Linked DNA regions of Anolis sagrei. The protein of the gene in region 2 purifies or fractionates together with the protein of the main gene of each other region. This does not show direct contact. Links are inferred from orthologs where the notes say so. Each region holds a gene or a part of one and is shown on either strand. Other genes may lie near its edges.

Region 1 (6,967 bases), on a different chromosome or scaffold from region 2:
GTCTTTATGTGGGTGGCTGATATGTGCCCTGGTAGTTATTCAGAGTGTCAGCTGTAGATTGTTCCCTATTGAGGATTTAAGAACAGTTGTATATACACATACTGACTGGGAACAAGGACTTCTGAATTTGTATATTGCCAGCACGAACATATGTGCAATATAAACTCTTATTATTATGGTGTGCCTTTAGGTCATTTCTGACTTATAATGACCCTAAAGTAAGCTACCTCAGGGTTTTATGGGGCTGAGAGTATGCGACTTAGATAAAGTCACCCTGTGGATTTCCATGGCTGAATGCGGATTAGAATCCTGGTATCCAAAATCATAATCCAACGTCCAAAGGATTACATCAGGTTTAAAGTCAACACATTGCATTGCCTGTTACTTTTCTGATACTTTTCATTACTTTGAATAAATAAATATTTCAAAATAATGATATAAACATTTAAAAAATCATATGTAATGCTTCTAACATTGCTCATTCACTAATGGAGCAACTTTGTTTCCATTGTTTGTGCTACTTACCATATGTAGCTTTGCGACAGGAAACGGTGTTACTCATAATGTGTTAACCTTCAACCCACAAGTCTTCCCCTGCTACAAGCCTCCTCAGCCACCTCTCTTCGCTGTTGAGAGTTAGAGTTTAATCAGTGGAATTAGTGAAGTTTGATACCACCTTAACTGCCATGGTTTAGTGCTATGGTATCCTAGTAGTTGTAGTTCCCTCTTGTCCTTTGCTGAATGTAGCATTTGTTGGATTTTCTTAGTGGATCTGTAGATTGTGTTTCTTCATCAGCTTCACTATGTGGTCAGTGGTTCCCTTGATGTATGGCAAGAACACTTTTCCTCTGAGTGGATCTTTGTCTTGACTCTCATGGCTTGTTCTTGGTCTTTCAGCACTTCTGATGTCTAAGGTGGAGTATCCATTGGCCTGTAGAGCCCAGTTTAGGTGGTTTGGTTCACCTTGGTGGAGGTGGGCTTCGCAGATTCTTTTTGCATGGTCTGTCAAGGCTTTAATGGTGCTTCTTTTTTTACTTGGGTGATGGTTGGAGCTTTTATGCAGGTATCTATCTCTGTGTGTAGGTCTTCTGTAAACTGTGTGGACCAATTGTTGGTTGGGCTTTCAGATGACTAGGACATCTAGAAATGGCAGTTTTCCTTCTTTTTATTTTTCCATGGTGAATTGGATGTTGGGGTGGATGCTGCTGAGGTGGTCCAGGAACTTATTTCTTTATTTGTTTGTTTAGAGTATTTACTATATTCCACCCTTCTCACCCCGCAGGGGACTCAATGTGGATTACAATGCACATATACATGGCAAACATTCAAAGCCAATTAATATGCAACATATAAACAGACAAAGAGGCAATTTTAACATTCCACCTTCCCGGCTTCATATCTGCTTTGAACTGGATTATCTGAGGTCACACTGCCATATAACCAGTTCAAAGCAGATAATATGGGATTTTATACAGCTGTATGGAAGGGGTCTGATTCATGCAATTATGGTACATGGTGAATGGTAGGAAAACCCACCTGCAGTGATCAGCTGTGATTTTTATTTTATTTTCATGTGAAAAATGGTTTCACCTGGTAATGCCCACTCCTGTCCTTAAAAACCCATTAAATGCAATTATAATTGTACTGTATTTTAATTTTATGTCCAGGACACAAATATAATAATAATAATAATAATAATAATAATATATTTATTTACAGCTTTTATATTCCACCCTTCTCATCCCACAGGGGACTCAAGGTAGATTACAGTGTACACATATATGGCAAACATTCAATGCCAATTTTGATGTGCAGACATATACAGACTTACACAGAGGCTATTTAACCTTTTCTGGCCACCAGGGGAGCTGTCGCTTTCATCGTCCATCTGCGATGCTGATGAAGTACCTCTGCATTCCTTGCATGCTTCCCCACTGGAGTGCTTCTTTATGGCCTCATAAATTAGTTAATTTTAGCCTCCCCACACTTTTAAGGTGGTACCTTATTTTCCTACTTGAAAGATGCAACTGTCTTTCGGGTTGCAAAGGTTGACAACGGGCTACACAATGGTTGGAAACCCACTCCAATCTGGGCTGGCTTCGAACTCATGACCTTTTGGTCAGAGTGATCTTAATGCAGCTGACACTCAGCCAGCTGCGCCACAATCCCAACAACAACAATTTATTTATTTATTTATTTCGAGGTTTTATATACCGACCCTCTCACCTTCAAAGAGGGATTCGGACCGGTTCACAACATGTGTTAACATACAAAAAATATACAACAACAACAACAAAAACAACAACATGGATGTGGCTAACAAATTGAACTTTGAAAAGGAAACTGGGGGCCTGATTCTTGCAGCCCAAATGCCATTAAAGCCAGAACTGAAAAGTCGATGACAGATCCCAAGTGTACACTCTGCAAGAAGATTGTGCAGATGGACTACAAGCAGAGGCATAACATCTTGCTCAGATGATCCACTGGAACTCGTGCCACAAATACCATCTGCCTGCGACAACGAACTGGTGGGATCACAAGCCTGAAAATGTTACAGAAAACGAACATGTCAGACTACTCTGACACTTTCAAATTCAGAGTTTTGGAGCACAATAGTCCTGACCTCATGATCGTGAAAGTATGGATCATCGATGTTGCAATCCCAGGTGACAGCAGAATTGACAAGAAGCAACTGGAAAATCTGACACAATATGAAGATTTAAGATAGAACTGCAAAGACTCTGCCACAAGCCAGTAAAGTTGGTCCCAGTGGTGATCGACACACTGGGTACGGTGCCTAAAGACCTTGGCTTGCACTTAAAAACAATCAGCACTGACAAAATTACCATCTGCCAACTGCAAAAGGCTACCCTACTTGGATCTGCACGCATTATTCACCAATACATCAGACAGTCCTAGACACTTGGGAAGTGTCCAACGTGTGATCCAATACAACAGCCAGCAGTGATCTTGTTTGCTGTGTACTAATCTTGTTGTGTTTCAAATAAATAATAATAATTTTGTATTTGCTTTGTTTTATATTGTTATTGGGTCATAGAATCCTAGAATCCTAGAGTTGGAAGAGACCTCATGGGCCATCCAGTCCAACCCCCTGCCAAGAAGCAGGAATATTGCATTCAAATCACCCCTGACAGATGGCCATCCAGCCTCTGTTTAAAAGGTCGTGTAAGTTGCCTTGATTCCCTATGCAGAGAAAGGTGGGGATAGAAATTAAGTTAATAATAATAATTAACGGGCCAGGAAAAATATTGATTGCGGTGCATCCACACTGTAGACTTAACACAGTTTGATACCAGTTTAACTTCCTTGGGGAATTTCTATGGAATCTGGCAAGTTGTGGTTTTAGCAGGCCTTTAGCCTTCTCTGCCAAAGTGGACTGGTACTTACCCAAACTACAAAGCCCAGGACAGTTAAAGCGGTATCAAACTGTGTTAAGTCTACAGTGTGGATGCACCGCAATTAATATTTTTCTTACAGTGCAGATGCAATGATGTAGAGATAAGAAACATTGTTTTAAAATTAAGAAAAAAATAACCGAGGAGTGGTTGTGCCCGTGTATACAAAACCCGCGGATACGGAGGGCCGTCTACCCGCGGATACGGAGGACAGGCTATTGCATTGACTCTCCATGTATTGCATTGACTGTATACTTCCACCCTCTCGCTCGGAGGCCAAACAAAATGGCCGCCGCCGTGAAGTCAAAGCCGGAAACCCTATGTCTGAAGCAACTCTATGCTACTGGGCTTACGCTCTAGGCTGGACATTTCCTGTCTCTGTGATTTTCCGTCGCTTATATTGGATCGGAAAAGAGCGAGGCCGGGCCGTTTACTCCCCGCCAACCATTGAAATAAATCAACCAATCGTCGGACGGGAAGCGTTTAAAGTGGCAGCCTCGGTATCCAATAAGAAAAGGGTCCTGCGCAAAAGAAGGCGGGGCGCACGAAAATTGGATGCCGGAGTGCTATTTGGGGGAGCGGAGACCCCTTTCAATAGGTTCAAATGGGAAAGAAAAAGGCGGGAGTTAGATTTAAAGGGACAGGCACCTAAAAATAAGAAAGACTTAGGTGCATAGGTGTGTGTGGGCTAGCCATTAGGATATAATTGGAAGCAGGATATCAAGGCTATCAAAGGAATAATGCAAGGAGATGGATACAGATGAGGTTTGGAAAGGCAAAGGGAAGGAGTAACATTGTACCTACATATATATAGCTATATAGTTATTGCAAAATGGAGCAAACTCAGTTGTTGGACTGGGACGAGGAAGGGGATCCCAATGAGGCTTCTCATGGGAATACCCCCAAACCTGTTGGGCGCCTGCACCTTTTGAGCAGCAAATATGGCCCTGAAAAAGGTAAGGATGTCTACAATTAATGCCTTTATATTTATTAACATTGTGTATGTATATTTTATTTATATGCCACCTTTCTCCCAAAGTGGGATGCAAAGGTGACTTGCAAATACATTAAATTGCAAGGTTTCCAACACATTTTATTATATGCATTTATATTATTGTATTTATATGCTCCCTTTCCCCCAAAGTGGGATGCAAAGGTGGCATGCAAATACATTACATTGAAAGGTTTATACCACATTTTATTATATGTATTGATATTATTTTATTTATATGCCAGTTTTCTCCCAAAGCGGGGCACAAGAATGGGAAAACGTTATTTGCCGACTTTCTCTCAAAGTGCAATGCAAAGGTGGCTTGCTAATACATTACATTGAAAGGTTTCCAACACGTTTTATTATATGCATTTATATTATTGTATTTATATGCCAGCTTTCCCCCAAAGTGGAATGCAAAAGTGACTTGAAAATACACGAAATAGAAAGGCTTCCAACACATTTTATTATATGCGTTGATATTATTGTATTTATATGCCACCTTTTCCCCAAAGTGAGATACAAAGGTGGCAAGCAAATACATTACATTGAAAGGTTTATACCACATTTTATTATATGTATTGATATTACTGTATTTATATGCTACCTTTTCCCCAAAGAGAGATACAAAGGTGGCTTGCAAATACACTAAATTGAAAGGTTTCCAACACATTTTATTATATGTATTGATATTATTGTATTTATATGCCACCTTTCCCCCAAAGTGGAATGCAAAAGTGACTTGAAAATACATTAAATTGAAAGATTTCCGACACATTTTATTGTATGCATTTATATTATTATATTTATATGCCACCTTTTCTCCAAAGTGAGATACAAAGGTGGCTTGCAAATACATTACATCAAAAGGTTTCCAACACATTTTATTATATGCATTGATATAATTGTATTTATATGCCACCTTTTCCCCAAAGTGGCATGCAAAGGTGGCTTAAAAATACATTACATTGCAAGGTTCCCAACACATTTTATTATATGTGTTGATATTATTGTATTTATCTGTCAGCTTTCCCCCAAAGTGGGATGCAAAAGTGGCTTGCAAATACATTAAATTGCAATGTTTCCAACACATTTTATTATATGCATTGATATTATTGTATTTATATGCCAGCTTTCTCCCAAAGTGGGACACAAGAATGGGAAAACGTTAAATTAGGTGGCTTGCAAATACATTAAACTGAAAGGTTTCTAACACATTTTATTGTATGTATTGATATTGTTGTGTTTATATGCCAGTTTTCAACCAGAGTGGGATGCAAAGGTGGCTTGCAAATACATTAAACTGAAAGGTTTCCAACACATTTTATTATATGTATTAATATTATTGTATTTATATGCCAGTTTTCTCCCAAAGTGGGGCACAAGAATGGGAAAACGTTATTTGCCGACTTTCTCCCAAAGTGCAATGCAAAAGTGACTTGCAAATACATTAAATTGAAAGGTTTCAAACACATTTTATTATATGTATTGATATTATTGTATTTATATCCCACCTTCTCCCAGAGTGCGATGCAAAGGTGGCTTGCAAATACATTACATTGAAAGGTTTCCAACACATTTTATTATATGTAGTGATATTATTGTATTTATATGCTACCTTTTCCCCAAAGAGAGATACAAAGGTGGCTTGCAAATACACTAAATTGAAAGGTTTCCAACACATTTTATTATACGTATTGATAATATTGTATTTATATGCCAGTTTTCTCCCAAAGTGGGACACAAGAATAGGAAAACATTAAATTAGAGTGGGGCGCAAGGCAGCTTGCAAATACATTAAATTAAAAGGTTGTTGTTGTTGTTATTAACAACTGTATTTATACTCTGCCTTTCCCGCTGTAGGGACTCAAGGCAGTTAACAAACCCACACTTTTAAAAGCTCATTACAAAAGTTACAAAACAATTAAATCGTACAGTGTGGTAGAGACATATTAAAACATTACCAATACACTTAAAATAGTCTTTACAACTAAATTGTATTTATTGATATTGTTTCATTTAGATGCCACTCTTTCACCCAAGGTGGCTTGCAAAAACATGATTCCACGGCATTGGGCCATTGGAGTTAAAGTGGTGTCAAACTGCATTAATTCTATAGTGTAGATGCACCCTAAGAATGGGGCTATGCCAGGCATGGGTAAACTTGGGCCCTCCAGGTGTTTTGGACTTCAATTCCCACAGTTCCTAACTGTTATGATTTGAGGGAGTTTTATTTTGAACACTTATACCCCATCCATTCTCGACCTCCAGGGAGAGACTCAGGACGGCTACCTACAGGCAACAATTCGATTCCGAGACAATATAAACACATAATAAATACCTAAATATAAATATAAATATACATTAAAACAGTTGATGTCCAAAACACCTAGAGGGCCAAAGTTTGCTCATGCATGGGTTATGCTGCTTGTTTACAAAAGCCCTTCAGAAGTTTGCATAGAGAGCAAAACTGAAATCCTGTTGGATTAATTAATTAGTTTATTTTATTTACATATTTATACTCTGCTTTTCTCACCCCTGGGGAGACTCTAAGCGGTTT
Region 2 (7,920 bases):
ACATATTTATACATGGCTATCATATCTCCTCTCAGCCTTCTCTTCTTCAGGCTAAACATGCCCAGTTCCCTAAGCCGCTCCTCATAGGGCTTGTTCTCCAGACCCTTGATCATTTTAGTCGCCCTCCTCTGGACACATTCCAGCTTGTCAACATCTCTCTTGAATTGTGGCGCCCAGAATTGGACACAATATTCCAGGTGTGGTCTAACCAAAGCAGAATAGAGGGGTAGCATTACTTCCTTAGATCTAGACACTATGCTCCTATTGATGCAGGCCAAAATCCCATTGGCTTTTTTTGCCGCCACGTCACATTGTTGGCTCATGTTTAACTTGTTGTCCACGAGGACTCCAAGATCTTTTTCACACGTACTGCTCTCGAGCCAGGCCTCCCCCATCCTGTATCTTTGCATTTCATTTTTCCTGCCAAAGTGGAGTATCTTGCATTTGTCGCTGTTGAACTTCATTTTGTTAGTTTTGGCCCATCTCTCTAATCTGTCAAGATCGTTTTGAATCCTGCCCCTGTCCTCTGGAGTCTTGGCTCTCCCTCCCAATTTGGTGTCGTCTGCAAACTTGATGATCATGCCTTCTAGCCCTTCATCTAAGTCATGAAGAAAGATCCTGAACAGGACCGGGCCCAGGACGGAACCCTGCGGCACTCCACTTGTCACTTCTTTCCAAGATGAATCTTGACATTTGGGAGTTGTAGTTGCTGGGATTTATAGTTCACCTACAATCAAAGAGGATTCTGAAAACCACCAACGATAGAATTGGGCCAAACCTCCCACACAGAATCCCTTTGACCACCAGAGTGGGCCACAGCAACACATGGCAGGGGATGGCTAGTAGAATCATGGAATCCTAGAGTAGGAAGAGACCTCATGGGCCATCCAGTCCAACCCCATTCTGCCAAGAAGCAGGAATATTGCATTCAAATCACCCCTGACAGATGGCCATCCAGCCTCTGTTTAAAAGCTTCCAAAGAAGAAGCCTCTACCAAACTCTGAGGCAGAGAGTTCCCCTGCTGAACAGCTCTCACAGTCAGGAAGTTCTTCCTAAAGTTCAGGTGGAATCTCCTTTCTTGTAGTTTGAAGCCAAAGAAGGAGGCTCCACCACACTCTGGGGCAGAGAGTTCCACTGATGAACAGCTCCCACAGTCAGGAAGTTCTTCCTAATCTTCAAGTGGAATCTCCTTTCTTGTAGTTTGAAACCAAAGAAGGAGGCTGCACCACACTCTGGGGCAGAGAGTTCCACTGGTGAACAGCTCCCACAGTCAGGAAGTCCTTCCTAATGTTTAGGGTCTCCTTTCTTGTAGTTTGAAGCCATTGTTCCGCATCCTAGTCTCCAGGGAGGCAGAAAACAAGCTCCCTCCTTTCTATGACTTCATCTCACATATTCATAGCTATCATGTCTCCTCTCCTACCGGATGTTAGGAATTATGGGAGTTGAAGTCCAAAACACCTGGAGGGCCCAAGTTTGCCCATGCCTAGTATAAGGTATATTATGAGAGCCAGTAAGGATTTAAGTGACTGATTTGGATTGCAAAACCAGGTTTTGAATGTCTGCTTGGCTATGGAAACTCACTGAGAAACTTTGGGACAAGTCACACTCTCTCAGCCTCAGAGTTATCCCAAATATAGTAATCCAGAATGGTTTTCCCGCCCTGATCGTACCTCCTTTGGTCTTTTCTCCCGGGGGCAGCTCAGCAACCAGGCACCCGAAAGTGGGCTCTTTCCCAAAGCCATCTTCTTGGAAATCTACCAATAAATAAGGCAATGTTAAGCACTATATATAAAACATATGCATTTACATAGCTTCGTACGGTTCTGGAATTGACAAAATATGAATGGCCTTTCTTGAAAGCCACACGGCATCAAAATATATGCGTTCAACATCAAAATACACAATTTTCTACAATTCCCAGGATCCCATAGTTTTGAGCATTTGTGGGGTGAAGCTGCATTAATTCTATAGTGTAGATGCACTCGTTGTATGCTAGGGAATCTGGCTTTGAGCTTCGTTTCTTGCAAGTTGGTTAGAAGCCATAGCAAAACTCCAAATAACTAGAAAAAATGTATTGTCGAAGGCTTTCATGGCCGGAAAGGAGGTAACCATGAAAATGAACAAAATTTGGCTACTCTAAAATTGCAACAGCACAACAACAGAGAGGAAACAAACAAGGACATCTAATTACCTCTCAACAAAAGTTTGCTCCAGGCACAGTCAGCCCATTGTATGCTGATCAAGATGGTCAGTTGAAACATTCACACTTAGCTCCAGCAGACAAGAGTCCTTTGTCCCACCCTGGTCATTCCACAGATATATAAACCCTTTTTCCTAGTTCCAACAGACCTCACTACCTCTGAGGATGTTTGCCATAGATACAGGCGAAATGTCAGGAGAGAGTACCTCTAGACCATGGCCATACAGCCCGAAAAAACCTACAACAACCCAACTAGAAAAAAAATAAATATAAGCCATTCCTTACTTTTTGTGGTGGTCGTCACTTGGTCCAAAGCTTTGTGGAAAGCCGCAGATTCCTGGAAAGAGAGTAAGTTGTAATGGAAATGGAAATGAGAAAGGGGTCTCTGGAGGTCATCTAGTTTGACCCTCTCCAAATGCGTAAAGCCCAGAACCCCAGAGAATTCCTCAATTGATCCCTGTTGAGAATTGGAAGGTGGGGGAGGAGAGAGAGAGATACACCTGGAGTACAAAACCCATCATCCAGTATGACACACCAAGGGGAGTATGGGTTTTGTAGTTGAGGCACATGTCCAAATTGTCATTCTGATGCCAAAACAGAGCTTTAAACCCCTGAAATTTCTCACCCGAATAAGCCGCATGACCTCCTTAAGATCCCTTACGGCCCAGGGACGGATGATGCAGTTCATCATGGCTCTGATCTTGTCTCCTTCCAATTTGGACTCTGATCTGGTTAAAGAAAGCTGACTCCAGTTAAAAACTAAGCGTTCCCCTTCAATGGGCACCCCCTCCTTGCACCTATTAATTTTGGTCAGTTATTAATTTTGGGGATACGCTTGGAAACCCAACAAGGAAGATGGATCCATAGCAAGGTTCAAAGGGTGCTGTTGTACTTAGTTTTGGCCCCAGAAGCTGGCATATAAATGAGTTACAGGGTTGGTTAGTGATGTAAATGGACTTTCCTTGGCTTGTTATAACTCTCAATGGCTCTTGGAAAATCTGTTAAGCTGGAACCCATCTGTATTGCCATGTAATGCAGTGTGAAACTGCATTGTATGGTCAGTACAGACTCATATTATGCCATTCAATGCAGATTCATAATGCCATTCAATGCAGGTCCCCATCTACACTCCACTATATAATGCAATTTCATAATATGGTTAACTGCATTACATGGCAGATATATATACTAGCCATCCCCTGCCACGCATTGCTGTGTTCCAGTCTGTATATATGTGTTTTGTGTGTGTGTATATATTTGAGGAGCCTTCTAATCAAGGTGAAAGAAGAAAGCGCAAAAGCTGGGTTGCAGCTGAACATCCAAAATCCAAGATTATGGCAACAAGAATGATTGACAACTGGAAAATTGTGGGAGAAAATGTGGAGGCCGTGACAGGGTTTGTATTTCTAGGCGCAAAGATGACTGCAGATGCAGACTGTGGCCAGGAAATCAGAAGACGCTTCCTTCTTGGGAGGAGAGCAAGGTCCAGTCTCAATAAAATAGTAAAGAGTAGAGACATCAGACTGGCAACCAAGATCCATTGCCTAGTCCAAGCCATGGTCTTCCCTGTAGTCACCTACGGATGTGAGAGCTGGACCTTAGGGAAGGCGGAGCGAAGGAAGATCGATGCTTTTGAGCTGTGGTGTTGGAGGAAAGTGCTGAGAGTGCCTTGGACTGCGAGAAGATCCAACCAGTCCATCCTCCAGGAAATAAAGCCTGACTGCTCATTGGAGGGAAGGAGACTAGAGACAAAGTTGAAGTCCTTTGGCCACATCATGAGGAGACAGCAAAGCCTAGAGAAGGGAATGATGATGGGGAAAGTGGAAGGCAAAAGGAAGAGGGGCCGACCAAGGGCAAGATGGATGGATGGCATCCTTGAAGTGACTGGACTGACCTTGAAGGAGCTGGGGGTGGTGACGGCCGACAGGGAGCTCTGGCGTGGGCTGGTCCATGAGGTCAGGAAGAGTCGGAGACGACTGAACAAATGAACAACATATATTTGTGCATATAGAAGATGTGTATATAGATAGATAGAAGAGATAGATATAGATAGAAAGGTAAAGGTTTTCCCCTGACATTGTGTCTGACTCTGAGGTGTGGTGCTCATCTCCATTTCTAAGCTGAGCCGGCGTTGTCTGTAGATAACTCCAAGGTCACGTGGCTGGCATGACTGCATGGAACACAGTTACCTTCCCGCCGGAGAAGTACCTATTGATCTACTCGCATTGCATGTTTTTGAACTGCTAGTTTGGCAGAAGCTGGGGCTGACAGCAGGAGCTTACCCCACTCCCTGGAATCCACTCCCTGGATTCCCTTTCGGTCAGCAGCTCAGTGCTTTAACCCACTGCAGAGATAATAGATATGGCAGCATGGATGGAGCCCTAGTGTTTAGAGCTCAGGGCTAATCTACACTGCAGATTTAATGCACTTTGATCCCACTTTAGCTGCCATGGTGCAATGCTATTTAGTCCTGAGCACTGTCATTTGGTTCTCTTTAGTGTAGAACCTAAAATTCCATAGCATTGAGCCATAGTAGTTGAAGTAGTGCCAAACTGCATTACTCCCAGATGCATCCACGTGGGTGTGTTTTCTAGTTCCTGTTGCCCTTTAAGGAGTGAGGTCTCGCGAGAGCTCTACGCCCTTTCGCCTGGCTCCCGCGAGATCTGGGTGAGCCAGCCGGGAGGAAAAGTGGGCGGAGCCAGGGGTGTCATGGCGGCCTCCACAGTCCCCACGTGAGTTTGTGTTTTGATCTTGCTAAGCAGAGAGATTGTAAGTTTTGGGGACACTTTTCCCTCTTCTCTGCATTCTCTGGAGCAGATAAAAGGAACTGCTCCAGGGAATCCGCATGTAGAAAGGTATTAATTACAGTATCTGCATTATTGTTTGGCATTATTAACTGATATCGTTGATATTCTAATTGGGGCCCTCATTGCTATTGCGTAGAACTTAGAGAGGGATCCATCTTAGTTTGCTTTCTTGTAAAAGAGAAAAATGAGGAGTCTTGTGTTGTAATAAGAAATTCAGTGTGCAAATTTGATAAATGTGAATTTAAAATGATGTGTGGGAATGAATGGAAGGATGTATGGATAGAGCTAATAATTTTGGAAACACCAGTATAATATTAAGGCCTGCAATGACTAACTACCTGCTTGCTGGACTTGCTAATGAGAAACCCTGATAAGAACTGGGACAGTGATAAAGGAAATGTTTGCAACATGCCTTATGTTAAGAAGGAAGTCTTGTGTAAGATCAACACTAAGCCTTGTGTTTGTTAACACCAATCAAGAAGATCAACACTGAGATGGATCCAGGATGGAAGACGTCTATCATTAATTTACAACTTTGGGACTACATCAACAGAATTTTCCTATAAAAGACTCAGGCTAATAATGCTCAAATCGTGACAGACCGAGGAGTCTGATCCACCCGCCATGCTCTGCTCCATGGGAAGGACAGAGGTGGTGTATTCAGAGAGTGCCAGATATGCTATGGGAAAGCATGATTCTGGACATTTTGGGGCTTCTTTCTCAAGGGAAGAGGAAGAAGTGCCCTTTTGGAGTCTTAGATTTTATGCAGGGAGTCAAGTTCTGCTGTATGGAAAACAGAGGTCTGGTCCTTGGCACTGTTCTTAGGGAAAGAAGTTTTGGCATCTCAGCGTTTGAAGTTATGGAACTATGCGTTGGTTTGTTGTTGTTCATTCGTTCAGTCGTCTCCGACTCTTCGTGACCTCATGGACCAGCCCACGCCAGAGCTCCCTGTCGGCCGTCACCACCCCCAGCTCCTGCAAGGTCAGTCCGGTCACTTCAAGGATGCCATCCATCCATCTTGCCCTTGGTCGGCCCCTCTTCCTTTTGCCTTCCACTTTCCCCAGCATAATTGTCTTCTCTAGGCTTTGCTGTCTCCTCATGATGTGGCCAAAGTACTTCAACTTTGTCTCGAGTCTCCTTCCCTCCAATGTGCAGTTGGGCTTTATTTCCTGGAGGATGGACTGGTTGGATCTTCTCGCAGTCCAAGGCACTCTCAGAACTTTCCTCCAACACCACAACTCAAAAGCATCTATCTTCCTTCGCTCAGCCTTCCCTAAGGTAGGCTGCAGGAAAGCAGGGTCTGGCCTAAGAGGTGCTTCTCCAAGGAGGGAGAAAATGATATGGTAATATTTGGATGCATGTGGATGAATGCATGTACATGTGTGTGAATGCTGAGTGAAAATGTAATTCTCCTATGTTTGTTTGTTAACCAATGTAATTGTGAATCCAATGTAGTTGCATAGAATCTGTATGTCTGTATGTCCAATGTAATTCTTTGTCTAAATGTTTTCTATAATCTGATATATCTTCTCACACTGGAAATTGCAATAAAAAGAACCTATGCTTCAAAGTTATTGAAAAGTCATTCATGACAGTGTCGCTCTTAAGTCTAACCAATGTGTATATATCTTATGGTTTTAATGTGTTTTCATCTTATGCTTGTATTTTAATATATGCATTAAAATGATGTTATGTTTTCACTATTGTACCCCATCTGTGGCCTAGAGAGTCATAGAAAAATATTTATTATTTTATTATTTATTTACTACATTTTTACCCCCCTCTTCAAAAACCCCTGTGGGGGGACAGGGACTCAGAGCGTCTTATACTGGCAACAATTCGATGCCCCAAATATAACAAATAACAGCAATTCAATTCAAGGTGCAGGTGCTCACCTACAAAGCCCTAAATGGTTTGGGACCCGACTACCTGCATGACCGCATCTCCATATATGAACCCACATGATCCCTTCGATCATCTGGAGAGTCCCTGCTCACAATCCCACCTGCGTCGCAAGCGCGTTTGGTGGGGACGAGGGACAGGGCCTTCTCTGGTGGCCCCCCGACTCTGGAACTCTCTCCCCAAGGACATCAGACAAGCCCCAAAGTTGGCAGTCTTTAGGAAGAGCCTGAAGATTTGGCTGTTCCAGTGTGCCTTTCCAGAATAGGAAACTCCTGGCATCATGTCCCAAATGCACTTTGTTAGAGATTTAGGATTGTCTGCACATTGCACCTACCTCCAAAACCTCTACATTTCACCTGTCATATCCAGCACTTTTAAATTTTGTTCATTACATTGGCCCGGCCTTAGGTTTTAAATGCATCATGGTGTCATTGTTTTTAGTGTTTATTTTTGCTTGATGTTTATTGTTTGCTTTATGAGTTTTACTGCTGTATTGTTATGTTGTTGTTTTGTTGGCGGCCTTGGCCTTTGTAAGCCACATTGAGTCCTTCAGGAGATGTTAGCGGGGTATAAATAAAGTTAATAATAATAATAATAATGATAATATAAAACAATGAATAGAACAGTAGATTAAAAATCGTTAAGCGTTATTATCACATGCTACTCTGCTGCTGAGTATGCATGCCCGGTGTGGAACACATCTCACCACGCTAAAACAGTAGATGTGGCTCTTAATGAGACATTATTATGAGGGAATCCTTTCTAATATTTAGGCACAACTTGTTCTCTTGTAACTTGAATCCACTAATTTGTGTCCTAGACCCTGGAGCAGCATAAAACAACCTTGCCCTTATTTACATGACATCCTTTCTGGTATTTAACGATGGACCTGGGAAGGAATCCTGGGAGTTACCCTGGACAGTTATCTGACCTACAAGAAGCACTGCTTGAATATCAAGCAAAAAGTGGGTGATATCATACGAAAGCTGAATGGCATAACCTGGGAATCAC

The links. The genes of interacting proteins can lie anywhere in the genome.
Region 1: the proteins of WRAP53 (region 2) and MDC1 purify together in Homo sapiens (affinity purification with western blotting, with the first as the bait; 3 studies listed by BioGRID). This does not show direct contact. The link is inferred for Anolis sagrei from reciprocal best matches to the Homo sapiens genes WRAP53 and MDC1.

The regions. Positions count from the first base shown.
Region 1 is NC_090022.1:21,663,284-21,670,250, forward strand, and holds the start of MDC1 (mediator of DNA damage checkpoint protein 1), read left to right. Parts: upstream 1-3,921; 5' UTR 3,922-4,248; coding exon 4,249-4,372; intron 4,373-6,967. UniProt on the Homo sapiens protein: Histone reader protein required for checkpoint-mediated cell cycle arrest in response to DNA damage within both the S phase and G2/M phases of the cell cycle.
Region 2 is NC_090026.1:5,549,381-5,557,300, forward strand, and holds the start of WRAP53 (telomerase Cajal body protein 1), read left to right. Parts: upstream 1-4,884; 5' UTR 4,885-4,932; intron 4,933-4,945; exon of another isoform or gene 4,946-4,969; intron 4,970-4,981; exon of another isoform or gene 4,982-5,055; intron 5,056-7,920. Other genes in the region: thialysine N-epsilon-acetyltransferase-like, read right to left, coding at 1,671-1,754, 2,486-2,537, 2,826-2,891. UniProt on the Homo sapiens protein: RNA chaperone that plays a key role in telomere maintenance and RNA localization to Cajal bodies. Specifically recognizes and binds the Cajal body box (CAB box) present in both small Cajal body RNAs (scaRNAs) and telomerase RNA template component (TERC).